Arabidopsis thaliana: one gene and its partners. The protein of the gene in region 4 interacts with the protein of the main gene of each other region in a pairwise test. Each region holds a gene or a part of one and is shown on either strand. Other genes may lie near its edges. The genes, in order: ABCG16, DiT1, AT1G50290 and AT1G14990.

Region 1 (8,596 bases), on a different chromosome or scaffold from region 4:
AAACCTTTTGTAGATTGCACGAGTATATATATGCAGTATCTAATTTCGCCTAGAATCGATAACGACGCTTCATAAACTTCTCAACGTTTGTAATTTAATTACTACTTGAGTTATGGCATAATTCCTCTCACAAGTTTCTTATATCAAAAACCCCAAATCACCATTAATAATTGTCTTTTAAGTGCAACAGACTATGATCTCTACTGTCATGGGGCCGTAACTAAATGCATTCAATTTGGTTACGTGATCACACCAACAACGATCTTCTAAGAAACTACGTCATCAGGTAAAACTTTTATTTTTCTCTTTTCTTGCCTTTTTTTCCAGCACATATATGAATTCTTTAAGAGCTTATGGAAAATAGAGCTTAATGATACAACATTTTAATAGATTGAAAACTTCCAATCCTATAAGTTTTTCTCAAGAAATGGAAGATATAATTGATACTATTAATAATGTTCTAATCGTTTTCATGATCTCTAGATGAATCGCTGATCATATAAATATTGAATTAAGAACTTAAATCTTAGATCAAGACTTCTGATTATAAAAGACTTCTTTCTTTTATTGCTTTAGAAACTTACTCAAAAACTAAAGCTCTCTCACAATCTCTCAATCTCAAAACTCATTAGGAATACCACACTTTAGTATCTCTCTTTTATAAGAGAAAACTTAGACAACTTCCTAATCTGTTTTAGGATAACTTACATATTTATTTAGGCAGCTTCCTAAACAATAATGTCTAATCCTAATTTCCTTTTCTTGAATAGCTTCTTCTTCAAATAAGCTTCAAGGTTACTCCAACAATAAAATAATAACACAGCGCTTTGTGTTAATCTTCCGGCGAGATGCTGCAAAGAGACGCCGTGATCGATGTTGATGAATCTGAGATACCGCCCATTCCGTTCGTCCTTGCTTTCAACGACCTCACCTATAACGTCACTCTTCAACAGCGTTTTGGTCTTCGTTTCGGACATAGCCCTGCTAAGATAAAGACACTGCTCAATGGTATCACTGGAGAGGCTAAAGAAGGAGAGATCCTAGCCATTCTTGGTGCAAGCGGAGCTGGAAAATCAACGCTTATTGATGCATTAGCAGGACAAATAGCCGAAGGTAGCTTGAAAGGCACGGTAACTCTAAACGGAGAAGCTTTGCAATCTCGTTTGTTGAGAGTCATATCAGCTTATGTAATGCAAGAAGATCTCCTTTTCCCTATGCTCACAGTCGAAGAAACTCTAATGTTCGCTGCCGAATTTAGGCTTCCGCGAAGCTTAAGCAAATCAAAGAAAAGAAACAGAGTAGAAACCCTAATAGATCAATTAGGGCTCACAACTGTTAAAAACACTGTGATCGGAGATGAAGGCCATCGTGGTGTCTCCGGGGGAGAAAGAAGGCGTGTATCAATTGGGACCGATATTATTCACGATCCTATAGTCTTGTTCCTCGACGAACCAACCTCAGGACTAGACTCAACTAGTGCCTTCATGGTGGTGCAAGTCTTGAAAAAGATTGCACGTAGCGGCAGCATCGTAATTATGTCAATCCATCAGCCTAGTGGTCGGATTATGGAGTTTCTTGATCGTGTAATCGTCTTATCTTCTGGCCAGATTGTGTTTAGTGATTCTCCTGCTACTCTCCCTTTGTTCTTCTCGGAATTTGGTAGTCCCATACCGGAAAAAGAGAACATTGCGGAATTCACACTTGACCTAATCAAAGATCTTGAAGGATCTCCCGAAGGAACAAGAGGTTTAGTCGAATTCAATCGAAATTGGCAACATAGGAAGCTAAGAGTTAGTCAAGAACCTCACCATAACTCATCATCTTTGGGAGAAGCCATCAATGCAAGCATTTCAAGAGGCAAACTTGTCTCTACTTCATATAGATCTATTCCTTCATACGTAAATCCATGGTGGGTCGAAACCGTAATCTTAGCTAAACGCTACATGATAAACTGGACCCGAACGCCCGAGCTTATCGGAACACGAGTTTTCATAGTCATGATGACCGGTTTTCTCTTGGCTACGGTTTACTGGAAAGTAGATGACTCTCCTAGAGGCGTCCAAGAAAGGTTAAGCTTCTTCTCCTTTGCAATGGCCACAATGTTTTACAGTTGCGCGGATGGCTTACCCGCTTTTATCCAAGAAAGATACATTTTCTTAAGAGAAACCGCGCATAACGCTTACCGAAGATCTTCCTACGTTATATCTCACTCTTTAGTAACTCTGCCTCATCTCTTCGCACTTTCCATAGGCTTTGCAGCGACCACGTTCTGGTTCGTTGGTCTAAACGGTGGTCTGGCAGGTTTTATCTACTATCTTATGATCATCTTCGCGTCCTTCTGGTCAGGATGCTCGTTTGTTACATTTGTCTCCGGTGTGATTCCAAACGTGATGATGAGTTACATGGTCACCTTTGGCTATCTCTCATACTGCCTCCTCTTCAGCGGATTCTACGTCAACCGTGATCGAATCCATCTTTATTGGATATGGATTCATTACATTTCTCTGCTAAAGTATCCCTACGAAGCTGTTCTGCACAACGAATTCGATGATCCCTCCCGTTGTTTCGTGAGAGGAAACCAAGTGTTTGATAATACAATAATGGAAGGAGTATCTGAAACGACAAAGGCTAAGCTTCTGGAGACAATGAGCGGTTACTTGGGGATGGAGTTAACGGAATCAACGTGTTTGACGACGGGCTCTGATTTGCTTAAGCAGCATGGAATTGAGCAGCTGGATAAATGGGGTTGCTTGTGGGTAACGTTAGCTTGGGGATTCTTCTTTAGGATCTTGTTTTATTTTTCGTTGTTGCTTGGAAGCAAGAATAAGAGGGCGTGAACGCCATAATGTAAATTTTTCCGAAACAGAAATTTTATTGTGAAAGCAAAATTGTCTTTTTGAATTTGAGATATTGATGATATATGTTGTATAATTATTATTTTTTTCTTTCATAGCTATCATATATTGTCTAAAGAAAGAATCGTACATCTAACATTTTACATGATGTTAGGTTCACAATTTTATAAAGGACTAAGATTTTAGTTTAATTCACAATTGGTAATGTTTTTAACTTAACAATATGAACTACATCAATAGTTTAAAGTTCAAACTAATATAAAGATACCACAAGCTACCAGTGAAGTAATTTAGTAGTTTTAATGTGCGTGTGAGCTATATGCCATCTTTCGTGGTCGGTGTAAACATAACGTATTTGACAAAATTCAAATTGCATCACTTTTTAAAAACAAAAGTATATACAACTAAACAGTTGGTCGAAAATAGAATTCAAAGTAGCCAACTTTCTTATAAGCTTTATTAGATGGTATTATAAATCTTTGACCCTTTTCTTATGGCGGTAAGGAAGACTACAGTAGGTAGAAGTTAGTCACCTAAACTTCAAAATGTCAACCAAAAAGATGTAACAGTGAAGTCAAAGTTTAGGATTGGAAATCCAAGAAGCTAAGCCAGTACGTCAATTTTGCTTTCATGTTACCATTGTGTCCATCACTAGAAGTTTGACCAAGTACTACTTAAGAGGAAGTTGCCTAACCTTTTGATCTGTTTCTTCTTTCCCTGGATGGATCAAAGACATCACTATTTTTACTTTCTTAACAAATAGTATTTGAAATGTGACACCATCTTTATGATTCTCGTGTAATTTTCGCATGCATGTTTAATTTTAGCAACAAACTTGACGATTTTTATTATATTTCTCTTAAACCACCACTCCACCCTTTACAAAACAAAAAGAATGTTTTATCAGCTTCTGTATACTGTGAATAAAACAGAGGAAACAAAGACCAAACACAATATTTGAGTTTGGTAAAGAATGTTCCACCGTTACCAACTAAATAATCAAGAAATAGAAAAAATGAACTTGGAGATTGTGTGTAGTCTTTCATAGCAAAAACAGGAGTTTATATTCCCAAACTAAATACAAATCTAGCTACTTTATCAAATATAACTTTTATATTATATTTGGTAGAATTAGTTGGGGTTCCGGAATTATTGCAATTTGCAACTTTTAGGCAGTTAGCAGCATAAGCAATCGTCTTCGGTCGCGAAAACAAAAGAAAATGTGAATAGTTTATCTAGGTACACATTTGCTTGCGATACAAACAATCACTATATCGCTACCAACATTCGAAGAATCTTTTAAAAACATTAATTAATTGACCAAACACTATGTGAAACGCAAGAAATATCTCATCTCAATCCTATATACTATCTATACCTCGGTTAGATCAACACCCTTCACCTAATTCTCCATTCTAATCGCCACGTGTCAGCCATTTCTACGTATTTTAGTATTATCACCTTGGAAAATCTAGATTTATTGGTCATCCCATTACCTCTCCCTAATTGAATACGAGAAATCCAAAACGCATTTTCCATCCAAACGCTAAGAATATTATTGTTAACAACACAAACCTAACAGATTTCTCATGATGATGCAACTCATTCAACACATAGAACCTTCGTGTTCACACGCTTCCACACGTTACTTCATATATATAAGGCCTATACACAGATACTAGCAAAACAGAGAACAAAGACTAACATTTTGATCATGCAAAGAGTGTTTTGATTTTCAAGTGTAAGCACATCATTTCTCACTTTACCATCTTTTGTTCTAAATGTCTCGCATACTAGTAGAAGATGATAATGCAACACCGTTTCATTCCATGGAGATTATTAGCTCATCTTTGACTTTAGGCCAACTTCTCAAGAACGTTAGCGACGTTCGTAAGGTTGAAGTTGGTGACGAAACTCCTGTTCATGAATTCTTTGACAGGGATGGTTCTTCACTTGACGGAGATAATGATCATCTTATGCGTCCTGTTCCTTTCGTTCTATCTTTCAACAACCTTACTTACAACGTCTCTGTTCGCCGGAAACTTGACTTTCACGACCTGGTTCCATGGAGGAGGACATCTTTCTCCAAGACCAAGACTCTTCTAGACAATATCTCCGGTGAGACTCGTGACGGAGAGATTCTTGCCGTTCTTGGAGCTAGCGGGTCAGGTAAATCCACTTTGATCGACGCTTTAGCGAATCGGATCGCTAAAGGAAGCTTGAAGGGCACGGTAACGCTTAACGGAGAAGCTCTTCAATCTCGGATGCTGAAAGTTATCTCAGCTTATGTAATGCAAGACGATCTTCTCTTCCCGATGCTTACTGTGGAAGAAACCTTAATGTTTGCAGCTGAGTTTCGATTACCAAGAAGCTTACCTAAATCCAAGAAGAAGCTTCGAGTTCAAGCCCTAATCGACCAGTTAGGGATAAGAAACGCTGCTAAAACAATCATTGGAGACGAAGGACACCGTGGAATCTCCGGTGGAGAAAGAAGGCGAGTTTCGATCGGAATCGATATCATCCACGACCCGATTGTTCTCTTCCTCGACGAACCTACTTCTGGTTTAGATTCCACAAGTGCTTTCATGGTGGTTAAAGTATTGAAGAGAATCGCAGAGAGTGGCAGTATCATTATAATGTCAATACATCAGCCAAGTCACAGAGTTCTCAGTTTACTTGATCGTCTTATCTTCTTGTCACGTGGACACACCGTCTTTAGTGGTTCTCCGGCGAGTCTACCGAGCTTTTTCGCCGGGTTCGGTAATCCGATACCGGAAAACGAGAATCAAACGGAGTTTGCACTCGATCTAATCAGAGAACTCGAAGGATCAGCTGGAGGAACAAGAGGATTAGTTGAATTCAACAAGAAATGGCAAGAGATGAAGAAACAGAGCAATCCTCAAACCCTAACTCCGCCGGCTTCTCCAAACCCAAATTTAACCTTGAAAGAAGCGATTTCCGCCAGCATAAGCAGAGGAAAACTAGTCTCCGGTGGCGGCGGTGGTTCCTCCGTCATAAACCACGGTGGCGGAACCTTAGCCGTCCCTGCATTCGCGAATCCGTTCTGGATCGAAATCAAAACTCTCACCAGACGCTCAATCCTCAACTCCCGACGACAACCGGAGCTACTCGGAATGCGATTAGCCACCGTAATCGTCACCGGATTCATCTTAGCCACCGTATTCTGGCGATTGGATAATTCACCAAAAGGAGTTCAAGAGCGGTTAGGGTTCTTCGCATTCGCAATGTCAACAATGTTCTACACTTGCGCCGATGCTCTTCCCGTGTTCCTCCAGGAACGTTACATCTTCATGAGAGAAACAGCTTACAACGCTTACCGGAGATCCTCCTACGTTCTCTCTCACGCCATTGTTACCTTCCCTTCGCTCATCTTCCTCTCTTTAGCTTTCGCAGTGACGACGTTTTGGGCTGTTGGGCTTGAAGGAGGCCTAATGGGCTTTTTATTCTACTGCTTAATCATCTTAGCCTCTTTCTGGTCCGGAAGCTCCTTCGTGACTTTCTTATCCGGCGTCGTTCCACATGTGATGTTAGGCTACACGATCGTTGTTGCTATTTTAGCTTACTTCTTGCTTTTCAGTGGCTTCTTCATCAACAGAGATCGAATCCCTCAGTATTGGATTTGGTTTCATTATCTTTCTCTGGTTAAGTATCCATACGAGGCGGTTCTTCAGAACGAGTTCTCGGATCCTACAGAATGTTTTGTGAGAGGTGTTCAGCTTTTCGACAACTCGCCTTTGGGAGAATTGACGTATGGGATGAAGCTGAGGCTTTTGGATTCTGTGAGCCGGTCGATAGGTATGAGGATATCGAGCTCTACGTGTTTAACGACGGGTGCTGATGTTCTGAAGCAGCAAGGAGTGACACAGCTTAGTAAATGGAACTGCTTGCTTATCACGGTAGGTTTCGGATTCCTATTTAGGATTTTGTTTTACTTGTGTTTGTTGCTTGGGAGCAAAAACAAGAGGAGGTGAAACTGAAACTACTGATGATACCTAAAACCAAAAACATATATTGTAATTCTTTTTCATTACTTGTAATTCGTAGATTGATTGTGTATTTGAATTGTATTCTTTTTAACATTTGTATTACTTTTGCCATCAATAAAAAAAATATCATTCTTTAGGAAATTGGAAATACAAAAAGCACCTATGAATCGCTTTTACTCAGAAAATTAATGCAACATTTCAAATAGAGGCATTGAGATTGTGGAAGAAAAATGAGGAGACACAGACACTGTTGCTAGAGGCAAGTAACTCTCAAAGCCATTTCACTTTGTAAGGTATCAAAAAGTCAAAATTGGAAGGCTATCTACAAAATCAATTAAAAACAAACCGATTTATCTGAAATTTAAAACCGAAACAAACCGGACCGAATCAGCATCAGAATATCGTCTGGTCCTGGCCGCTCTGCTCTAGCCGCAGTCGAAACACGAGTCCATAATACGAGCGGTGGTTGCTCACGCGCCATCCAGTTTGGCTGGAGATGCTATTCTGCATTTCGACAGTGAAGCTTTTCGGGTTTCAACAAAGGCGCAATGTTAGCTCTTTAGCCAAGCGTTTCAGTCTCGCCGGGAAACTAACGTTAGAGCTCCAAACTCAGGTTTGATTTGTGAAAGATTGAGACTTTCGTGAAATTTGTGAAATCAATGTGATGGACTGTTCACAGCTTGATTATCTCAAGTGTTAGAAAAGTTTTATCATACCTGAGTGTGGTTCCAAGAATTTTTCTAAGTTATGTATGTTTCTCCTCTACTGATAGCAATTGATACCAAAGATGAAACCTTTATGTTCTTTTAGCTTCTTCTATCTATAGTTAACCAAACAGACTGTTGATTTTGGGAGCTAATTGATGTAAGAAGATGTTGTACAGAACTTTTATGTCTCTCACAAAAGAGGATTTACGATCATCTTATCCATTTTATATCTAGGCTTCGTTGGACAATAACTTCTTACCCTGGTTAGAGCGAATTGCTGGAGCAAAGATAACTAATACTCTTTCGATTGGGAAATCCACCTATGGCAGGTGGGCTTGATGATGTTTTGAATAAGATGCAACTTTGCAAGTATTTTTCAAAATCCGTTTTTCGAGTACCTCGGTTTTCTGTTTACCGGCAATTAAAATATGGATTGTTAGACACATTTTCTCTATTCAATAATTCTATTCATAGTTCCCTTTCAATGTAATGATCAGATTCTTTGTTGATACCTTCTGTGGCAGCTTAATTTTTATATGACTTGTCTTGATGTTCTTTAATATGGTTCTGTCTTGTCATCAATAGTTGAAACATTGTACAACTTTGAATCATGTTATTTTGTCTTGTTTAGTAATCTGATTGTTTTCCATCTTTATGCGATTGTTTAATGAGTGATTGTGAGAATAACCAATTTCATTTCCTACCAGAGGCTGTCTCCTGGTGTGATGCTTTATCTTTAATGTCAAATACACTAACCATGTTAATAACTATATCAACTTCTGAGCAGGTCACTGTTCGCCTCCAAAGTTATCTATGCTGGTGACTGCATGTTGAAAGTCCCTTTTAATGCGGTATATTGTTGTCTACTGAAACGAGCTTTTCTGTTATCATGTGTCTTAAGAAGTATTGGAAATTCTTTTTATGCCATTAGTGTTGTTCTAACTTAAAATTTCAGCAAATAACTCCAGATGAGCTCCCCTCGGATATTAGAGTTTTATTGAGCAATGAAGTTGGGAATATCGGAATG
Region 2 (8,607 bases), on a different chromosome or scaffold from region 4:
GCTTCTTAGATTTAGTTTTCTTCTGTGTTAATTCATTTCAGAAAAGTTTATTAGATCCGTTTAATTCTTTGAGTCTTCTTTTGGTAAATCTTCTGACTTTCGTTGTCAAATTCTAATTACTTTGTTTCCTTATTTTCTGGTCAAGTTTTTATTATTATAATCATTTATCAATTCAATAGCTTTCCTTAATTGCTGATTTTGATTGACCAATATTTTTTATGATATACCTCTTCTCTACATTGCAAGAAGCATACGTTATTGGTTGATTTCATTACCCAAGTAACGTTTTTTATCTTTTGGTTGATTGTTTCAGATCTTTTTTCTTCTCCAGTGCCGTGAAGGATGTGTGGTCTTGCTAAGAAGCTGGATATAGAGGATACTTTGACATCACTGTCAGACCAAGAGAATGAATCTTTGGCCAAACCCATGAATGATGCTGCTGAATGGGAACATTCGTTTTCTGCCTTGCTTGAGTTTGCTGCAGACAACGATGTGGAGGGGTTTAGGCGGCAACTCTCTGATGTGTCTTGTATCAACCAGATGGGTCTTTGGTACAGACGGCAGAGGTTTGTTAGAAGAATGGTTCTTGAGCAAAGAACCCCGCTGATGGTTGCTTCGTTATATGGGAGTTTAGATGTTGTGAAGTTTATTCTTTCTTTCCCGGAAGCGGAGTTGAATCTGTCTTGTGGTCCTGATAAAAGTACTGCTCTTCATTGCGCTGCTTCTGGTGCTTCTGTGAATTCCTTGGATGTTGTCAAGTTGCTTTTGAGTGTAGGAGCAGATCCTAATATCCCTGATGCTCATGGAAATCGTCCTGTTGATGTTCTTGTTGTGTCTCCACACGCTCCTGGTTTGAGAACCATCCTTGAAGAGATCTTGAAGAAAGACGAGATTATATCTGAAGATCTGCATGCCTCGTCATCTAGCTTGGGATCAAGTTTCCGGTCTCTCTCATCATCCCCTGATAATGGTTCCTCGTTACTCTCCTTAGATTCAGTATCCTCTCCGACTAAGCCACACGGTACTGATGTAACTTTCGCATCAGAGAAGAAAGAGTACCCAATTGATCCATCATTGCCTGATATCAAAAGCGGGATTTATTCAACCGATGAGTTTCGTATGTTCTCGTTCAAGATCCGCCCATGTTCTCGAGCATATTCCCATGACTGGACTGAATGTCCATTTGCACACCCAGGTGAGAATGCAAGGAGAAGAGACCCGAGGAAGTTTCACTATACGTGTGTTCCATGCCCGGATTTTAAGAAAGGATCCTGTAAGCAAGGTGATATGTGTGAATATGCTCATGGGGTTTTTGAATGCTGGCTACACCCTGCTCAGTACAGAACACGATTGTGCAAGGACGGAATGGGTTGCAACCGAAGGGTTTGCTTCTTTGCTCACGCAAATGAGGAGTTGCGTCCCTTGTACCCTTCCACAGGATCTGGATTGCCATCTCCTCGGGCTTCGTCTGCTGTTTCCGCCTCTACTATGGACATGGCGTCAGTTTTGAACATGTTACCAGGCTCACCATCTGCTGCTCAACATTCGTTCACCCCACCAATATCTCCTTCTGGAAATGGTAGTATGCCCCATTCATCGATGGGTTGGCCTCAGCAGAACATACCGGCGTTGAATCTTCCTGGAAGCAATATCCAGTTGAGTCGTCTGAGATCTTCTCTTAACGCTAGAGATATTCCTTCTGAGCAGCTTAGCATGCTGCATGAGTTTGAAATGCAACGTCAGCTTGCTGGCGATATGCACAGTCCACGCTTTATGAATCATTCCGCTCGTCCTAAGACACTGAACCCTTCAAATCTGGAGGAACTCTTCTCAGCTGAGGTTGCATCTCCTCGTTTCTCTGATCAACTTGCTGTTTCATCTGTTCTATCGCCTTCCCACAAGTCCGCGCTTCTTAATCAGCTGCAGAATAATAAGCAGAGCATGCTTTCTCCTATCAAGACAAATCTAATGTCTTCTCCAAAGAATGTGGAGCAACATTCTCTTCTGCAGCAAGCCTCGTCACCCCGAGGCGGAGAGCCTATTTCCCCAATGAATGCTCGAATGAAACAGCAGCTACATTCACGCAGCCTAAGCTCCCGTGATTTTGGATCTAGTCTGCCCCGTGATTTAATGCCGACTGATTCTGGTTCGCCATTAAGTCCATGGTCAAGTTGGGACCAGACCCATGGAAGCAAGGTGGATTGGTCAGTCCAATCAGATGAGTTAGGTCGGTTGAGAAAATCTCATTCCTTGGCTAATAACCCAAACAGGGAAGCAGATGTTTCATGGGCTCAGCAGATGTTAAAAGACTCTTCATCACCTAGGAACGGAAACCGTGTTGTGAACATGAATGGTGCAAGGCCATTGACTCAAGGTGGTTCGAGTGTGAATCCTCACAACAGTGACACTCGTGAGAGCGACATTCTTGATGCGTGGCTTGAACAGCTGCACCTAGATCGCTGAGCCTCAGCTGCGAGAGAGAGGTTCACATTTCTGTGAAGCTGTGAAACTGATGATTCGTTTATTTATTATTCAAGAAAGCAAACGGAAACAAAAGCAAACTCCGGGTAAGCTTTTTTCGATTCTAATAACCCTAAAAGGCTCAGTTTTTTCAGGCTTCTTTCTGAAATTTCTTTACTTTCTTATTTTTATCACCTCATTAAATTAATTATTGTATCATCTCTGTTGTAACAATGGCCAAAGTGCGCCTCTATTACTTCCCGGATTTCTGATTTACATTTTTTGTATCCTCTCAGTTTGTCAATTGTTTCTAATATCTCCTTCATATTTGTCAAAGAACACTGTATGAGAAATAATAACATATTGTTTCAGCTAATAAGATTCATTCATTTCCTATTGCTTTCTCTGCTTTCCTGTTTTTTCCACTAAACTTTAACCAGCGATTCATAGACTAATAGACATTAATCTCTCAACTAACACGTTTATGGAAGTCGAGTAACTATCAAGTAAAGTGGTGGTCTCACTTTGAAACAGTAAAGTTAGAAATCAAACAAAATTGACGCAAGTTAAGATTGCTTACACTTCAAAATGTGTGTGAGTGAGAATAAAAATTGCAGAAAAACTCTGCTCAATCCTTATAACCCTGATTTCAATCCTTCTCAAATCTGAATCTCAAAGCCGTTCTAAGAGATTATATATATAAGTAAGGAAAAGAATGGGAAGATTGGTGTATGGTGGTCCTCACCACAAGCCAATGAACTTCCACCAGGCACCACCTACACCAAGCCAGATGAGAATGTTGACTATTGAAATCAGGAATCCATAGCCCCACCATTTAGCCAGCGGCACGTAGTTAGCTCCGTAGAAGATAGGCGCAGACCCGATACCATAATGGGTCAATCCTCCCATCAGGTTGGAAAGGAACGCAAGAACCAAGGCTGCAAAGTAAGGTGGAGTGCCTAGAGCGGTTGAAACCGATAAAAAGGCAGTGAACATAGCACCAATGTGGGCAGCTCCACTAGCAAAGAAGTAGTGAGTGTAGAAATACAAGAGGACGAGGATTCCAAAAGATAGCTGCCATGACAAACCCAATCCTCCCACAAACTGCAATCAAAACCCAAACAATGTCAAAACATTTCATTAGCATGCTAAGTCATTAGGCTTATTAAGCATTCATCAAATCATTTAACAAACCTTGACTACGGTCTGGCTGAACCACTCAATGAGACCATATTTGTTAAGATAACCAGCCATCGCAATGAGAGCAGCGAACCAGGTGAGTGTGTCCCATGCGACCGACTCAGCTAAGCACTCTTTCCATGTCACAACACCTGTCACAAGAAGGACTGATAATCCAAGAATGGCTGCAGTCACAGCATCTACACCCAACTTAGCTCCAAAGATCCAGAGACCAACCTGTGTCAAGGAGAACACTTTTTTAGAAAAGGAAAACCTTCTCTGTAATAAAACACCAAAACCACAAACATTTTCACTCAAAGCAAATGCATTAAACAGAAGCAAAGCCCTAGCTTAATCTAAGGAGCTACAATAGCTAAAATCTCTCAATGTTCAATACTGAAGCACCTTTCAAATCAAGCTCTCACCATAAGTAAGAACAGATCCGATGAAGCAGAAGCACACTTACCGTGAGGAATAAAGTGGCAGCCATAATCAATTCGTTCTTAGACATAGGTCCCATCTTGTCAAGCTTTTCCTGAGCCAGCTTAGGAGCATCAGGACTGCTCTTCACCGTAGGAGGATAGATGAGATACAAAAGAAACGGAACAACAATCAAAGACACAAGTCCTGGTACAATCGCAGCTTTAGCCCAATCAGTCCATCCAATCGTCTGCTTAATCGTGTTAAACGCCAAATTAGCACTCAAAGGATTCGCAGCCATAGCCGTCAAGAACATAGAAGAAGAGATCACAGAAGTCTGGAAACAAGTAAGCATCAACCACGAGCCAAGACGGTGCTCTGTTCCATCCCCAACGTTACTCCCACAAGCAACACAGAGAGATTTCACCAACGGGAGAAAGATTCCACCGGCACGAGCCGAGACAGAAGGAATCGCCGGAGCTAAAAGAGCTTCACTGAAGACGAGACTGTAACCGAGACCAAGGGAGGAGCTACCGAAGAGTCTAACGAACTGGTAAGCTACACGGTTACCGAGACCGGTTTTGATGAAACCGCGAGCGAAGAAGAAGGCAAGAGCGATGAGCCACGGGATTGGATCTCCGAAAGCGGAGAACGCGGCGGCGAACGTTAGGGTTTTGGTGAGAACGGAAGCTCCTAATCCCATTAGAGCAACAGCACCGAGAGGAAGCGGCTGAGTGATGATCCCGACGATGGTGGCGAGGAAGATCGCGAGTAATTGCCACGCGTTGCGAGTGACACCTTCGGGGACTGGAACGAACCATAGAATCAAACCAGTAGCGATCGAAGCGAGAAGAGGCTTAATGGCAGCTCCTTGCCATGGAACCGGAGCTGGAACCAAAGGAGGAGTTGGAGAAGAGGAAGCTGAAGCGACGGTGGAAGAGGCTTTAACGAGAGTTGATGATCTCCGGCGTAAAGAGACGGGAAGTGGAGATTTGAGTAAGGAGAAGCGAGAATCGAGAGATCGGAGAGGTTTCGTCAAATTGAGAGAGGAAGAAGGAGGACGAGGGAGAGAGAGAGATCGAGATTTGAGAGGGAAAGCGAGAGAGCAGGAGCCGGAGAGAGCGAGAGACGCCATGGTTGTAGCGTCGTCGGCGAGAGAGAGGTGTGAAGAGGAGAGGGAAGTGAAGAAGGAAATGAGTAAGAAGAGGAAAGAGAGAGTTGGATAAATGTTGACCGTTGGATTGGAATCGGACGGTGAGATTAAGAAAAGGAATATACGGACAAGAGTGAGAGAGAGTGATGATGAGATGAGATCGTGAGGTGAGAAATAGAGATCTCCGTCTTTGGTGGGTCAGTCACCTCATCCTATTGGCTGAAATATTTACGAAAAGCCATTTTGGGTTTGGGTTTGGTCTTTTTAGATCGACGAAACATACAAAGCAAAATCCTTCACTCAACAAATTTTCTATTGATTTATTAGCTTTGTTTTTTGGTTTTGAAAGATCTTAAACTATGCGTTTACTAGTGGATCGTCCAATGAAAGATTAACTGGCAATAGAATAGTAGCTTTCATTACATTGTCCAAGATGGGCCGAGATGGCTTCGCTTGGAATTAAATCTAGTGTAAACCCTTAAGCGGCCTCTCGTTTTTTTTTCTTTGAGTGTTATATGGTTCATAGTTTTGATTTGTTTGTTTAGAGTAAGGTGTGACATCAAATATTGAATACATGATTCTTTTATGTAAGAGGATACTTTCTAATGTGAATGTCTAAGAAAGTTACCAAATGTTTTAAAGTACATTCAATAAAACAAAATGTTCAGTTTTATCCAAAGATATAACATCAGAAAAACTTTCATTTAATTAGTTCAATCTTCTCCATTGCTACTTGATTACAAAATTCTTCAAGTGTTTGCCCCTGTTATATTAAAGAATGTATGTGCTTATTATTTCTTTTATTTATTTATTATAGGATATATGTTTTACATTGACTAATCATTACATGGCACCTCAAGGCTCAAGCCCTAGTACGAAAAGATTATTCGAAATACAAAATACTCTCTAACAATGTATATATATTTGCATTTATGTGTGTGTGGCTAAGAATCTTGAGTATAAACCGCAATAGAAAAAAGAATAAGATGACGTAAAAATATTCATATGCTTTGTTTGAAGTTGAAGTAAAACGAAGGAACCTCAGTGTTCATCAACTGGTCAAGGTCCCAAAATTCTTCCACTGGTCTCATACCCTCAGGTGCGTTTCCGGATCCATTAGTGTTCAACTCGTCTAAGTGGTTGTTTATATTTGCATTGTACCAATCACCTTCTTCACATTCCAAAGGTGGGAAGTAGAGTTCCCCTTGTACCCCTGCGTTTACTCCATAGATACCATCTACATAAGGGGTAAAATCGTCATTGCACGGGTGGCTGATCATGTTTCCCGTTGGAAATGGATTGTTGGTTTGTATGTGGGTCAAGGAAGGGTTGACGAAGCCTTGTTCTTGTAAGGACATGAAGCTTCCTATAATGTCTTTAATATCCAAAGAAGATGCGGAATTAGAAGAGGAATCGCTTGCTGTGTTGGGTGATGAGGATGAGTTGTTGATTAAGTTGGAGGTATCGGACATCTTCTTTAGCCTTTTCTTTATTGTTGAGTTCCAGAAATTCTTGATCTCGTTATCGGTCCGACCAGGCAATCGTGCTGCAATCTGAGACCACCTATGAAATCGAAGAATAAGAGAGTAGAATAGTTTAATGAGATGATGTTATGTAAAATGTATACCAGTGCATGGTTTGCATGGGAATTAGAGAGTGATCCGTTCTTCATGTTTTTTATGTTTGAGTACGTGAAAAAGAGGCAATATATCAACAATTATAAAATTGCACAATCATATTAAGCAATAAAATGACATTATACACACTGCGTGTTTTGAATTGAATCTATATATATATATATATATATATATATATATATATATATATATATAAATAGAGAGGAAACATGTCCTGCGTAAAAAACACTAGAACGTATATTTCTGGAGAAAGTGACAAAAAAAGGAACTAATAAATATATAATTACAAAGATGAAAGTTGAAGTAAAACCCTAAGGAAGAGAAGAAAAGGTGTGTAAAGTGACAAAAGCCGCTTTCACTAAAATAAGTGTTTGTTGTTAGATAAGATCATAAGACGCACTCTAAGTCTTAAAACCCACGATCAACGAACTTTGACCACTCACATAATTACATGTGAATGTACTCATACCTATTTTGGTTTTATGCGTCTATTTCCATTCTTACTACTATTATTCTAATTCAACTTTCTTTTGGGTCAATTTTCTTCGTACACAATCATTCTTCCCTTTGAATTTAAACAGTTACTAATCGTACCAATGAAAACTCGACCAAACTTTATCCTTCCACGTAAGTTTGATTATACATTTTACGATGTTAACGTATCTTATATATATAGTATTACTTTTTACTGATTAATGTAATAGTATAATTGAAAACTCGTCCTTAAAACAAACATAGATATTATACCTCTAAATAGATAGCTCTGCACTTCTTATTTATTTGGTAGAAAAAAAAAATCAAATAAAATATGGTGAAAACGTTATCAAGATCTAATTTGACAATTTGGTCGTTTTAGGGTGGACTTTTTTTTTAAAATCAGTTGACTGGCTTTTCTATGCTTTAACTTTGTACCCATTAACCGAAAACAAATTAAGCTACACAAGTTTAAAAACAAGACTCACCAGACAAAAGCTAGTTTGCCAGAACATTTATATTTATCTTCCGGCCACTAGTTTCCATATTTTATTCTATCTCTTAGTTGTTGTTATTATGTCAAAACCAAAATGATGGTAAAAATGTAAACCTGTTGCCGAGGATGGAATGAAAGCGAATGATGAGATCCTCTTCTTGAGGAGAGAAAGCGCCACGCTTGAGGTCAGGACGAAGATAGTTGATCCAACGAAGACGGCAGCTTTTGCCACATCTTTGAAGTCCTGCGTTTTTCGCAACATCACTCCAACATCCTTGTCCATTGCTTAACATGTATTGCATCAGCTTTGAGTCTTCCTCAGGAGACCAAAGTCCCTTCTTCATCTTCTTTACTTGGTGAGTACTAGCTGCAATGGCTACCTCTGGCTTCCTCATATTTTTGGTTGAGTTAATTGTTATTATTTCTCTTCAATTTGTTTGTCTTTCTCAAGGATCCATTGATGTGAACGAGTGAAGTTTGTTTTATAATAGAGAGAGAAAAGAGAGAAGACTTGATGAAGGGAGAATGATGATGATGAGAAAGGGATGGTTGTATGGTTTGCTTACAATTCTGGGAAGAAAAACCATTTGCACTTCTTCCTTTTTAATCTCTATTCCTTAATTATATTTTTATTGTATATATTATATTTATAATATAGTGTTGCTTTGTTTTAAAACATAAAAGAAAAACATCCGAACCCTGGCTCTTTTTCAAATTAAACACATTTTTTTTGTCGGCATATATTGTGTAAGGTAAATAAAATAAAATACACCAACAACAAATGTATG
Region 3 (6,745 bases), about 13 Mb from region 4:
ACGTTTGAGACGTCGATTAAGATTTCTCCGTTGTGGTAACAGAACCTTGAAACCAGCTCAAACCCATCTGGTCCTCCTGGAAAATCATTAATCTCGATAGTGATGATTCTCTTTTTCTTGTTTCTCTTCTTTTTGCTCTGTTTAATCATCTTCCTCAAGCTTCCAGAGTACTTTGAAATCACGTTCTAAAACAGAGCACATAGAGAATTAAGAACAGAGCATAATCAAGACTGTGGTTTTTTGAACTGAGTTTTAGGTTTGGTTCTTTACCTGATTGAGGAAGAATGTGTATTGGCCATTGAGATTGATCTTAAGATCGTTGAGAGGAGACATTTCATAGAACAACTAGGAAGCCTACTGAGGTCTTGTGACTTTGTGAGCTTTTTTCTGTTCTTCCTCTGTGTTTTTTTCTTGGATTGAATAGAGCAATAATTATAGTGGGCACATGTAAATGAGTGGATATATATAGTGTTTCATTTGGCTTTATTTACACCTGTAAAATGCACAAAAATATATAAACTGAATCTAAGTTTGAGAAATTAGAGGTAAGTAAGACAAAGTTTATGTTGAGCTAGTATAATAAAACCACATAAATTCCAAAGTCTCTCAAATTCCCATAAATTGATTTCTTTTGTTTGTCTTGTTATGTTGTTTTTAAAAGAATGCTGTAGAATTTTGATTCCTATATCTTTGAGAAGGATTGACTTTTAAGAAATTATGATAATTATTTTTCACTGTCAAGTATTCGGTTCATATTGTACATGAGCTTTTCAAACTCAAACATGAATATCAAAACTTCAAAGTGTTTGAAAGGTCACTAAAAAAATTAATACAGCATTACTAAACACAACATACAGTAAAACCTCTATAAATTAATAATGTTGGGACTACAAAATTTTATTAATTTAGAGAGGTTTTAATTTATCGATAAATTAATATTTATTAATTTATAGAGAGATTTTCCTAATTTAGTAACTTTTCAAAAAAAATTATAGGATTTTTTTCATTATAGAAAATATCTTTCAAGAATCAATTACAACTAAACAATAATATCATGTTTAGAAAACAACACCAAAAGTTTTTGATACAGTAAAATACGAGAACTAAATTTTAAATAAAAATAAATACAAATTTAAGCAAAAAAATATTAGAATTATATTTCAGAAAAATTCCTACATATAATGTATATATATAATTGATATATTTATACAATTATTAATTTATGATATTGATGGGACCATATATTTACATAGAACTTTCAAAAAAGTTATTATCTTATTAATTTATCGATTTGTGTCACTTTTTACACTGGTACAAATTCGGGATTGGAAAAATTTATTAATTTATAAAGGTTATTAATTTATCGACTATTAATTTATAGAAGTTTAACTGTATGTTATAAATATCATCATATACTGTACTTTGGTCACTCTTTCTATTAACTTCTTCTTTTTTTTTAAAAGAATTTGGAATTATGTCGTAGTGCATGTGAATAAGTGGGGTCTAGACGAAAAAGATTTTCCTGTTTTAAGTGCGAGTCCATGACGAGCTTTTTTCATCGTATTTCCCATATCCGACCATGTTTTTTTTTTTTTTTTTCACTGGAAAGATTATGTTTATTAATGATCCACAGAATACAGCCCAACAAAGGTCCACTTAGTTACATTTCTTTAAAGGAAGGATATCTCTTTAACAAAACACGATCGTATAACAAGACACGTGTTGCAAGAGAAGCGATGAAACGTTCCTGTCATCCTGTGCCGTCAAAGACTCCGATCCGGTGAACACAATCAACGTCGAAAAAGGGCAAACATCGATTTTTGTTTTTTTCTCACCGGAAACTGCTAAACAGAGAAGGGAGGATACACAAACAGAGAATTCAATTCCAAAATCATCAATCAAGAGATTTGGCAAAAACAGGTAATGAGGAAAGAAAAATCTGAGTATTCCTCAAATTTGATCGATCGAAGCTCCATAAACATGTAGAAACGGCTACAGGCAATCCCAATATGCTGGAAACAAAACTTCCTTTCATACTTGAGGTAATTCTGCAAATCAAACTTTCTAAAGATACAAATCCGAAAACTTAATCTTAGGCTATTATGACCTAAAATTAATCTCCAATTGAAATCTTTAGAAATTATTGAAAGAAAAACTGAAAAAGAAACTAAAGCAATCGGTAAGAACAACCGATCGAACGGCGGAGGAAGGATAAAAGCCGGCCAAAACCGCTTGTAAAAGCCGGATTTGCCAGAAGAGGACCGGCCATCTTTGCTAACAAAGCCAAAATTAATCTCCTTCATATCTTTTAGAGAGAGGAACTGTTGAATTCTGTCGACCGGATTATTCTGGTAAACTGCCGTCCCAAGTTTTGCCGACCATGTTTATGACAATGATATGACATTAATATATATCCCCACAAATAAGCTTAATTTTTTCTTATCCTATTATAGTTTCAGAAACTATATTGTCCACAAAAATCTTCTTGTTCTATTTTTTTTATTCCCATTAAAATCATACAGCGATGAAATGATTGGCGATGGAAAAAAAAACAAAGGGACAACTAAAAATAATACTACAAAAGACAAAATAATACTTAATACACGTCTAAATTAGCAATTGACGTCGCTAACCATGTTTTGCCATAATTACCAATTTTCGAAACGATAAACATGGAGTATTCTCAGAACATAATCAGACCAAAACAAGTGAAAAACAATAGCCATTGATTCAAACCAAAATGAGTTTCACTTCACACAATAAGTAAACAAAAGGCGAAGACATTGTAATGATACCGTTGTAAAAGTAAGTCGACAAAACAGATGAGAAACTAAACCCTAACACTTATGAGTAATCTCTCAGTTACGGTACCTGCTTCCACGTTCGCGACCGTAGTCTCTGTCTCTGTCCCGATCATGGTCATAGTCATAGTCACGCTCCTTGCCTCTTTCCCTCTCTCGGCTTCTGCTTCTGCGTCTATCCTTATCGTAGTGATGATCTCTACCACGGTCTCTTTGCCTGTCTCTGCTTCTCTCTCTTCCATCTTTATCAATACCTGCCACATTCATATAAATTATGAACAACTACATTGGATCATGACCTTTCTATTTTTGGGGAAGCAGCAATAAACATTCTTTTCTATCTTCCTCTATATCTATTCAGTGAAAAGAAGAAAACTCTAACAAGGAACAACACTGTTTATTGGAGATCCCCACTAGGCTTGGGCTATAGGCAAGTTAGCTGCAAGCTTAATGTAAAATTTCAAACAAATCCCTCCCCGCATATATGTTAAGTTTCACTCAAGTGTCTAGATGACAAGCAGAAACTTTCTTTGAAGACTATACACAGAGAGTAGATATAGATCGAGCCAAATAAATCTCTATTATAGTGGAAAGGTTCTGTTCATAAGCTCAACCTATTTGATGATTGCATAGATTTAGTTCATATTAGTTAAAATTAAACAGAACTTACCTAGTTCCTCGACTTCCCACCCAGCACGACCAGCAGCAACAGCAGGTCTGGTGTCAGCTTGGTTTGTTTTAACACGGTACTTCTTCTTTAGATTCCCAAACTCATCATACATTTCACCATCATCCTGAAATATATTAGACGTATAAGTCAAATGGAATATACAAAAAACTGAGAGCTCATCCGAATTGCAACAAAAAAACAAAAAACAAAGAACTCTTCAGGAAAAGCATATCTTACTTCTTCAGCCTCACGCCTGCGTCTCTTCGTTTCCTCTAATTCTTGTTCATCTAATTCCTTGTAACCACCACCACGGCCTCCCCTATTTAGAGAAAAAAAAATGAATAAGCACTGGTCTAGATAAAAACAACCTTCCAAACTCAAACCTTAATGTTTCTTAATGCAACTCTAATTTGGCCAAAATAAAACATTACAAGTGGGATAAATCAATTGTCGAAGAAAACAAGCACTCGTTCAAATTGCAGAAGAGAGTATTGAGACTTTTTCCCAGGTATCTATTAGGCCCTGTCTAAAAGCAGAATAAATATACCCTGCTGACAACAAAACTACAAACATCGAACAGAAAATCTACGACCTCTCCTACATTCACTGTAAAATCATTTATAATCCAAATCCTCAGCTCGAACATTGCAAGATAACAATACAAAGGCAATCTTATCACTGGCTTTGAGTCATACCTCACACCACCTTCATTCTGACCAGGTTTATTGGTGTTGCAGATATTACATTTTAGACGTTTCGCCCAGTTGACATTGCCACACCTGAAAGAATTAGCGCAAAAAGAAAAAGTGCATTATGCATAAGAACTCACATTCACACAGTGCAGCCTCTTAGTTAAGCTACTCGATGACACATAGCATAACTTGCAATTAAACTAAAACATAGTCCATTTTTTGTATCAGACACAGAAAATTGAAGGCAGCCTATCTTCACAAATATAACTTCTTAGAAGGATCAAGACTACAACCTACCCACGTTTCAAATTACATTTTTCAGATTAACAGCCATCTGAAGGAAAATTACGAAATTAGAATCAACATTCAAAAAAGAAGGAAAAAATATGTGCCTCCACACATAATTTGGACCAGTTTAAGAGACACAGCACAGCAGAGCGGGCCATCACTTCTTTCTAAGTAAAGAGTCAACTGACATCATCAAAAGCATTGATATACAAGCTATATTCCTTCCATACATAAGACAAATTAATTTTATATCCAGCAACGCTATATGCCATCTGAATGTTCTCTTTTGCTACTGAATATAAATTGTTTCTTGCGATGTGTTTTAATCAAGTACCAAACGCTCATTATCCTCTGAAACTGAACTAACTATTTCAAACCTAATCGGAATGCTTACATTGGACAAGCCCAATCATTTGGACCAAAGAGACCAGTAGGAGCACCACTGGGCTGCTTCCCCGGGGCCCCACCATCAGCGCCTCCACCTCGACCCCTTCCACGACCAGCACCCATGCTGCCACCAGATGCACCAGCTGGTCTAGCAGTTCCACAGCGGTTACAAACCCCACGGAATGCAAAATTCACATTTGTACAACTGCCAATGAAAGAGTATGAGAACACTACTGCTAGAAACTATAAAATATATAAAAACTAGCAAATTAACGGAAACAAGAGCTAGATGAAGCTCCTCACCGATATCACATCACAGACCTTGTATTAGGGCACATCCAGTCACCATCTTGCTGCCATGGCTTTGCCGAAGAATCAGCCTGACCCCTCCCCCTTCCAGCACCTCCATTTGTTTCCTCAGCACCTCCATCGAATTCAACAAACTCAACTGCATCACCAGCATTTTTATTCTTCGACTCGGCCATAAAAACTCCAATGGTGTTTCCATGAAAATCTTTGTTATTGAACCATTCAACAGCAGCCAAAGCAGCATGCGGATCCTCATAGGTAACAGTAGCATCTCCCTTGGGCTCATCAGTTTCTTTATCCCGGTACAGCCATACCTTAGGAGTACCAGTTCGTTTGTCTCTCTAAAAGCAATGTAGAAAAAAATGTAAGAAACTCGAAAATCTAGTGACCTATAAAAGATTGCAATGACGTCAAAACAAAAGCAACAATTAGTACCTGGCCAATACCATACCTTAAGCAACCCAATGGTCCCAAAATAGTCAGCCAACATATTCTCGTCAGTTCCTAAGGGGAGATTTGAAACGTAGACTGATCCATTAGTAGGATATCCAGCCATCGTAATCCAATTTCATCAAAAAGAAAGCCGCCAAGAATCTGTAAATGACAATACCAAAACTTCACTTAGCCAACATTGAAACCTCGCTAAGAAATAACATCGAGACATTGAAACCCCAAAGTTTTGAGCTCAAAAACCATGAGAACAAAAAGAAGATTCGAAATCTGACCAACGAGATAGGGAAACATAGAAGAGCGAGATAGATAGAAATCTGACCAGCGATGAGGATTCAGCGGCGAAGGAGAGGTCGTCGGACTAGGGTTTCTTTCTAAAGTGCGTCGAGTGAGAGAGAGAGAGAGAGATCTTGCGAATAAAGATTTTCTTAAGGGTAACCTCGATAGTCGATTGTTTGTTTGGTGGTTATATTTGCAATTTCATATAACTTTCCCCCTTAAATTGTAATTTTGTTTTTTTATTTTTTTCGTGGTTAAGGAATTCTTTTTTTGGGTGCAAATTGAGGAATTATTAATTTACAAATTAGATGAGTACCCGCACTACGTGCGGGTTTACGTATTACTATTTACTAATTGTTTTATATAATGTCTGTTTATATAAAGTAAAGTTGAATGCATAGGTTTTGAAACATAAATATGTTTTGTAATTGTTTTTGAAAAGTCCAACTATATTAGTTCATCTGAAAAACGAATGTGCTTGAGTTGTTTTTTATTGTTGTTTTAGATTCTTAGTTTTTTTTTGAATTTATATATCCTTGCTTTTTTAGTTATATGTATAGATTGTGAGACAGTGAAATTTTAGAAAAATTATTTCTTACACTAAAAATATAACATGTCTTTATTAATCATGTCTTTGCATATTCAATCTAAGCATATTCAACTCGATATTCTTAGAAAGTTTAGTTAAGTTCTTGTCATAATCTTATATCTTACGTATTAGTTATAAGGATAGCTCCTCAAATATCTTTCAAATTACCTGTTTTCTTAGCATAAATATCGAAAAGCTTAGATATATTTAATCTGCATATTCATTTAGTTTCTTTCATAATAATCGTCTAATTTTTAGGCCAGGAATATGTGTAACATGT
Region 4 (7,194 bases):
CCGGCAGAGATGAGGAGATGTTGGCGGAGAAGGAGTAGTGTGATCGCTTCCCGGAAGCCGATTTTGAATCGACAGATCTCTCTCCACCTGGGAAATCATTGTTTCCCTGCTCTCTCTCTCTCTTCTCAATGCGCTACGCCATTAACGATATAATGCATTGCTTGTAACAATGGCAGGTGGCAAACGCCGATTGAACGGATTTATCCCGGCGGCGAAACTGTGAGTGAAGTAAGCAAAAGAGAGAGAAATTTTATTTATGTTATGTATGTATGCGCTCGTGCGGTGGAAGCATGATCGATTAATCACATGTACTTGAGTATTTATTTGGCTTTTCTTATGTGTTATAGTTCTTTAGTCTTTTTCTTTCTTCAATTCTTTGATTTCAGTTTCTATGGAAAACTATTGTTAAACGTGAGAATTCAATGCATCGGTTTCTACGTATGGTCTAATTTGTATTGGCAGAGAGACTTGTCCAAAAATAGCAATGAGTTTCATACACATTTTTCAGTTTTTGGTTAGAAAGATGAAATATTTTCAATCAACCAACCTATACTAAATTTGAAGGTGCGACAAGACAATATACTACAGTTGTCTTATCATCCAAACGAGTGGGTTAAACAACTGAAAATCCAAAATTAGTAGTTTTCCAACCATTGTGAAAAGGAAATCAAAAGACACAACTTTCAGAATGCATAGACATGGACCTACTTCTCGACCTGATTCAGTTGTCAATATGTGAAGAAGGAGATGCTATATAAAAAAAGCCATGCGGCCAAATGAGCTTATTTCTTTTGTTATAGCATGATCATGAATAAGCAAAGTCAACTAAGCTATCGTCTACATTGGCTATTGAAGTTGCTGCCTAAACGTAAACGAAAAGCATCCACAGATTACGGAAAAGCACAAAATGAGAAGATGCAACACTTGGGTTATCCATGTGATTGATGCCCATTTGTAAAAATTCAAAGACAGGTTCATAAAGGTAGATTCAATGATAAACGACAACAAAGTCCAACCACATCTTCAAGATAAACTAATTTATAAATGACTTCTCCTCATAACACAAACACCAACATGAACCCTCGTGGTTAAGTTGGCAAGCTTAGCCTTTTCAATCCTCGTGCAAAGTTCCCAAAACATCCTCGTCCCGGAAGAGATGGTACCTGCGTCCATCACACAAACACAAAAGTTACTCACTTTGAGTCAAATTCTTCTTCATTTGTAATTTCTTATTCGTTTCTAAAATCAACCCACCAATCAATATGTAAATCTGGTGTTCAAATTGGCATTATTAAACATTGATCAAAATGTTTTTAAATCCTCTGTTACAAAATTTTCAATATCTTCACAGTCTTACAAGTAATTCCCTTAGTTCCATCCATTAATCTAATTAATGGATAATGATTCCTGAACATGATTAGCTAAACATAAAGGTTCAATTAGATCAGATCAGAATTTTATCAGAATATTAGGGCAATAATAAGAAAGAAGCGGGTTTAACTTACTCGTTCTCGCCGAGCTTGACCTGTGTACCACCGTACTCTGGAAGAAGAACAGTGTCGCCTTCCTTCACAGAGACCGGAATCAATTTCCCGTCCTTATCCCTTGATCCAGGTCCAACAGCTATCACCTTGCCTGAGTTCAGCTGCAATCACCCAAAAATATGTTTATTTTTCAGATCTAAGAGGCGAAAATCAGAAGAATCAAATCGTGAAATCAAAGCTCTTTTACCTTGGAGGATTTCTCAGGTAGGAGAATGCCGCTTTCGGTTTTAGCGGGCTGGATGACTCTCTGCACCAAGATGCGGTTGAACGTTGGGATCAGACGCTTCATCATTTCTCAATTCTTCTTCTCTCTCAGTTGATGAATCGGAATTTTCTAGGGTTTCTGAGTTTTTAATTTGGGGCAGAGACACATAAGACGGAAGGTTCTAGATCGTAGGGTTTAGCGCGACAGAAAAAGGCCAAGGGTTTTGGGATTGTTTGGGCCTATAATATCATACTATTTCTTTAATGGGCCTCACTCATTAAAAAAAACCAGTCGCATTTGTGTTTGTCTAAATAAATTCTTGGAAGTGTTGTATGACCTTGCAGCTCAAATGGTTAGTTCCTTCCATGATTCTCTTTGCCAAGTTTTTCAAACTCCATGTACAATCCCATTTCATATACCACATCCAGAATGAGATGTTTATTTTCGGCAGATTTTTCGTGGAATGAAATCTTGACCTTTCTTTTATCAAACGTCTCTGCTGATGATGGAAAGCTTCTTGCTCTGTCAGTTTTCCCCATTTCTTTCAAGGTGGTAACCAAAGTTTTTCCCCGGATTGTTGCTTTGCTATGCTATATGTTTATTACATTGTGCCTCTGCGGGAATTACATGCTCTTAATTTTCAGAGTACAAATCTGAATAATCCATGTAAGCCAATGGTACGGTTCCGGACTTATACAAACACCATACAAATGTTCCAAGATACCAGGATTCGAATTTGCTATAACAAGATTAGGCACAAAGCTGAAACAAAGAGAGCTGGCGCCACTAGCCACTTCCATCGAGTTGGCCTTGAGATAGAAGGTGAGCCATGTATTGCTGCATTCACAATAAAATGAGCTCAATTCTTGGTTCTAACCCCACATGATTCGACAAACATTTCTATCAATGGCACCACAAAGTCAGTACCATCAAGATTCTAGACTTATGGAAACTGACCTTTACAACACTAAAATATCCGCACCACAGAGATTATCATAAAGAGATTGAAGAAACTTACGGAGTGGTAAACGTATGGAGATTTTCCCTGGCGATCAAAATGCTTAGCCATTATGCAGAATTCAACAGGACCCCAATCTTCAGATTCATAGCAATTCCCAAGCGCCGCTTTGTACAGCTTTACTCCAATAAACCCCAATCATCAGTTCCACACAGAACTAATCAACTATATAAACTGTAAACGACAACTCAAAATTGTCATCAAGGACAAACCTTAGCTGTGTCGGTCAAAAGTTCGGTGCCAGCAGGGTAAGATGCATAAAACTGATCTCCCCTGGAATATCCTGCTCTTGTTCTACACAACATTCGAATCAGTAACATTAAATCAAATTAAACCTGAAGCAGAAACCAAGAGAAGAACCCAGAAATTGAAATCATCTGCGAATTCCGATATTGAAAAGAAAGAACAACCAAAAGAAGCAAACTGAGATCGGACGAAAGACATTACGTGTTGTTTGTATAGAAGAATGTGAGGGCAGCAGTGAAGCAGTAGAATCCGGCGTAAGAGACAGCCCGTCGTAGCTTCTGGATCTTTATAACCTCTGAGCAAACATCCAAGATCATCATCTTCACACCTTCGGAAACTCTTTCAGGTATTATATCGAACACCTTGTGATCACTTTACCAAACAGAGATGACGAGTAGAAGAAGCATCTCACGAAATTTGCAATTGACAAATTGTAAACGCTTTGTATTGTCCAACTTTTTATGGGCCTATCTGACCTTTTTCTCTTTTCGGCCCAATAAAACTTTTAGATTTTATTTCTTTTGGCAACAATAAATTTAAAATAATATACATTATGGAAAATCATCTACAAACAAAAACCTTTAAATTAAAAAACTCACATGTTAATGCAATTAGGTTAGTAAGCAAGCACGTCTTGACAAAAATGTTATTGTTACACATTTAAAAATTCACATGTTATACAAGACAAAACATAAACGTAATGTTTTGCAGTCAAATAATGAAATAAATGAAATAATACAAAGGGATCTTTATGTAAAGGCGTCACCAATTAGTGGAAATAATGGAGCAAGCCACTACACTCTTCATATTGCTTTCCACTCTCCTCCTCGCCGTCTCCGTTGAGTCTCCTCAGCCACCGCTATTTCCCGATGAAGCTCTCCCCACTAAATCTGGCTACCTCCCGGTTAAACCCGCACCCGGCTCGTCCATGTTCTATGCCTTCTACGAAGCCCAAGAGCCAACCACACCTCTTCCTGACACTCCGCTCCTCGTTTGGCTCCAAGGTGGGCCAGGCTGCTCTTCAATGATTGGCAACTTTTACGAGCTCGGTCCCTGGCGTGTAGTTTCACGCGCCACAGACCTCGAGCGCAACCCCGGCGCATGGAACCGTCTATTCGGACTACTTTTTGTGGATAACCCAATAGGAGTCGGATTCAGCATCGCAGCCTCACAACAAGACATACCCACAAATCAGAGACAGGTCGCTGAGCATCTTTACGCCGCTCTCGTGGAGTTCCTTGAACAAAACCCAAGCTTCGAAAACCGACCGGTTTACTTCACTGGAGAGAGCTACGCCGGGAAGTACGTTCCAGCCATTGGATACTATATCCTTAAAGAGAAACCCAATGGGAAAGTGAATCTAAAGGGGCTAGCCATTGGAAACGGGCTGACCGACCCGGTGACCCAGGTTCAAACCCATGCGGTCAACGTCTACTACTCGGGTCTGGTCAACGCAAAACAGAGAGTTGAACTGCAAAAAGCGCAGGAGATATCTGTAGCTCTCGTGAAGTCCCAGAAATGGCGTGAAGCAGCAGACGCGAGGACCGAACTGTTGACGCTACTAAGTAACATGACAGGACTCGCGACGCTCTACAACACGGCACGGGCGATTCCATACAGAACAGACCTCGTGGTGGACCTCTTGAACCAGAGAGAAGCAAAACGTGTTTTGGGAGTGAGTGAAACGGTTCGTTTTGAGGAATGTAGTGATGAAGTAGAAGATGTGTTGCGGGCAGACGTGATGAAGAGCGTAAAGTTCATGGTGGAGTACGCATTGGAGAGGACTCAAGTCTTGCTGTATCAAGGTATGCTTGATCTAAGAGACGGCGTCGTTTCGACGGAGGAGTGGATGAAGACTATGAACTGGTCAGGATTGGGAATGTTCTCGACGGCGGAGAGGCGTGTGTGGAAGGATGAAGACGGTGTGGTCGCTGGTTATGTTCAGAGATGGGGGAATTTGTGCCACGTGGCGGTTACAGGAGCTGGTCATTTTGTTCCGACAGATAAAGCTGTGAATTCAAGGGATATGATTGAAGGTTGGGTTTTGGGGAAAGGATTGTTCGGTGGTAAAGATGTGAAGCAGACAACTTCGTCGAGCTTATACCATTCAATCTAAATATTGTGTACTTGTACTTAGTTCTGTAAGATTCAATTCAGATTCTAATTGTACTCTGGATTTAGATTTGTTACGTCATGTTCACAAGTTCATTTTAGTACGAATTGGTAACTTTTGCTACTTAGTTTATCATTTGCCTGTTCCTGAAGTCTTAAACTTTCTCAAAAAAGTTAGCATACAGTATACACTTAAGGATTGATTCAGATAAACTGTTTTGGTAAGAATAAGGAGATTTGAAGCATAAACTAAAGAATTTTTAAAAACATGTAATGGCGATTGGAGGCGGGATTGTGAATGAGATTCAAAGTGATTTGAGTATAAAAAATACACAAAACACAGAGAAAGCACAAAGAAACCCGTACTATGAAGCCATTTTGGTATTAGGGAAAGAAGAGCAAGGGCACCCCGTAGAAAACCTACAGGTATTTCAGAGCTATTTATCAAAATCTCTCCCCTGTTTTTTGCCTCTTTCCCGATTCAATTTTCTCGGAAAAACATTCGCGGAAAACAGAAAGAAAACTACTAATCATATGAAAATCAATCTTTCGCCTAATTGTTGAGAGAATGATATTCAGAACATCGAAAAATTGAAACAAAATTCATTGGAACCCTAATGACGGCTCCTGCTAAAACCTGTGAAACTCGCAACTTTATAGTGCGAAATTAGGAGAGTTAGGGCGGACGATAATCCTTTTAGTTGGGCCGAGAAAAAATTGGGTTCAGAGTTAGGTAACTATTAAGCCCATTGGGCTACTGTGTATAATCTATGTCCATCGTTTGACCTCACCATTGTTAGAACAAACAAAAAAAATAGACATCACTTCACCATTATTTCTTAAATTAATGTTAAGTATGAGAGTACCCCATGATTCCTTAATTAATCATATGGATTGATTCGTACGTTTTTTGGATGTAAACAAAGGAGAGGTCAATGTACATATAATTATTGGTTGATAAATTATGAGGATAGTACGTTAATGGGATTGACATTTAATGATATCTCCAATTTAACACCGATCCATCTTTTTCATCGGAGCTTCATGTTTGATGTTTTTTTATTTGGCCGTGTCGACAAATTTGTAAAAGACGTGTAAAGCTGAAATTGAGAAGAAACAAAAGTGAAATTGTAAGGAAACGTGATCGATGGTGACCCCATCAATATTACGATAAGGTAACGCGCTAAAGCAGCCTTAGCCGTTTTTATTAAATATTATCCAAATATAACTTATAAATAATCCCACCAATTGTGTCTCCTAAGCAACAGAAAATGGAAATGATACTGATCTCGTCATCGACACTCAGGTTCCATCCATTGAGGACATCACAAAGAATCGCCACCGGAACCAATAGAAGACGAACCACCACCGTGTGTGCAGACTACTACAGAGGAGGAAGAACGGTGGACGAGAACATGGTGGTCCTTAGGAAACGAATCCATGAGATGAAGATGGTTGAACGCAACTTTGAACCTCCTTCTCATTGGATGCAATGGGAGAAACGTTTCTACTGCAACTACGACGCTACTATATGTGATGCACTCACTCTTCTCCAAACTTTTCTCATGAACTCTCGTCCCAGCGTCGCGTTTGGAACGTGTCTTCTTCTCCTCGTCAGCGTTCCCGTCTCCTCCGCCGTTTTTGCTTTTCGCATCCTTGATCTAGCTCTTTGGCTTTTGGACGCCGTTCACGTAGTATGATCCGTAAATATCTTTGTTATTTTATCTAGAAACTATCTTTGTTATTTTATGTCGAAATTAAGGTAATTTTCCAAAACTAAAATGGAATTATTTATTATCAACAAATACCTTGAGAAATTCTATAATGATTTTGTTTAAAGAATCCTAATTTCATCTTTTTTGGAAAAATAAAAATAAAAAAAATCCGTACTTCATATGATTTAGGAAAAAAAAGTAATCAGTGTGAAGTAGTAGAAGAAAATCCTTGCTTCATATGACTAGAGATCCGTTGATTATTCGGAATACCGGAAAACTAGAGTCTCTCAGATCTGTTGATTTCTCAATACAAGAAACGAAAAAACGTGAAGAATTCGTTGATTCTCTGCGAAT

Evidence for each region.
Region 1: the proteins of AT1G14990 (region 4) and ABCG16 interact in a protein complementation assay, tested with the Arabidopsis thaliana proteins (one large-scale study listed by BioGRID).
Region 2: the proteins of AT1G14990 (region 4) and DiT1 interact in a protein complementation assay, tested with the Arabidopsis thaliana proteins (one large-scale study listed by BioGRID).
Region 3: the proteins of AT1G14990 (region 4) and AT1G50290 interact in a protein complementation assay, tested with the Arabidopsis thaliana proteins (one large-scale study listed by BioGRID).

The regions. Positions count from the first base shown.
Region 1 is NC_003074.8:20,414,593-20,423,188, reverse strand, and holds ABCG16 (ABC-2 type transporter family protein), read left to right. Parts: upstream 1-4,278; 5' UTR 4,279-4,636; coding exon 4,637-6,847; 3' UTR 6,848-7,006; downstream 7,007-8,596. Other genes in the region: ABCG17 (ABC-2 type transporter family protein), read left to right, coding at 849-2,837; AT3G55080 (SET domain-containing protein), read left to right, coding at 7,359-7,475, 7,804-7,898, 8,357-8,420, 8,525-8,596.
Region 2 is NC_003076.8:4,056,726-4,065,332, forward strand, and holds DiT1 (dicarboxylate transporter 1), read right to left. Parts: upstream 5,565-8,607; 5' UTR 5,195-5,564; coding exon 4,106-5,194; intron 3,877-4,105; coding exon 3,655-3,876; intron 3,565-3,654; coding exon 3,202-3,564; 3' UTR 3,126-3,201; coding exon of another isoform or gene 3,125-3,125; 3' UTR 2,854-3,124; downstream 1-2,853. Other genes in the region: AT5G12850 (CCCH-type zinc finger protein with ARM repeat domain-containing protein), read left to right, coding at 343-2,463; MYB46 (myb domain protein 46), read right to left, coding at 6,214-6,775, 7,934-8,214. UniProt on the Arabidopsis thaliana protein: 2-oxoglutarate/malate translocator involved with DIT2-1 in primary ammonia assimilation and in the re-assimilation of ammonia generated by the photorespiratory pathway.
Region 3 is NC_003070.9:18,625,960-18,632,704, forward strand, and holds AT1G50290 (uncharacterized protein), read right to left. Parts: upstream 2,494-6,745; 5' UTR 2,304-2,493; coding exon 1,899-2,303; 3' UTR 1,592-1,898; downstream 1-1,591. Other genes in the region: AT1G50280 (Phototropic-responsive NPH3 family protein), read right to left, coding at 1-185, 271-333; TAF15 (TBP-associated factor 15), read right to left, coding at 2,859-3,055, 3,472-3,595, 3,709-3,790, 4,167-4,250, 4,846-5,043, 5,160-5,488, 5,599-5,703.
Region 4 is NC_003070.9:5,164,819-5,172,012, forward strand, and holds AT1G14990 (uncharacterized protein), read right to left. Parts: upstream 3,447-7,194; 5' UTR 3,334-3,446; coding exon 3,215-3,333; intron 3,062-3,214; coding exon 2,980-3,061; intron 2,885-2,979; coding exon 2,768-2,884; intron 2,707-2,767; coding exon 2,677-2,706; intron 2,587-2,676; coding exon 2,536-2,586; 3' UTR 2,213-2,535; downstream 1-2,212. Other genes in the region: AT1G14970 (O-fucosyltransferase family protein), read right to left, coding at 1-99; CPN10 (chaperonin 10), read right to left, coding at 1,112-1,163, 1,506-1,645, 1,732-1,836; scpl50 (serine carboxypeptidase-like 50), read left to right, coding at 3,795-5,129; AT1G15010 (mediator of RNA polymerase II transcription subunit), read left to right, coding at 6,397-6,825.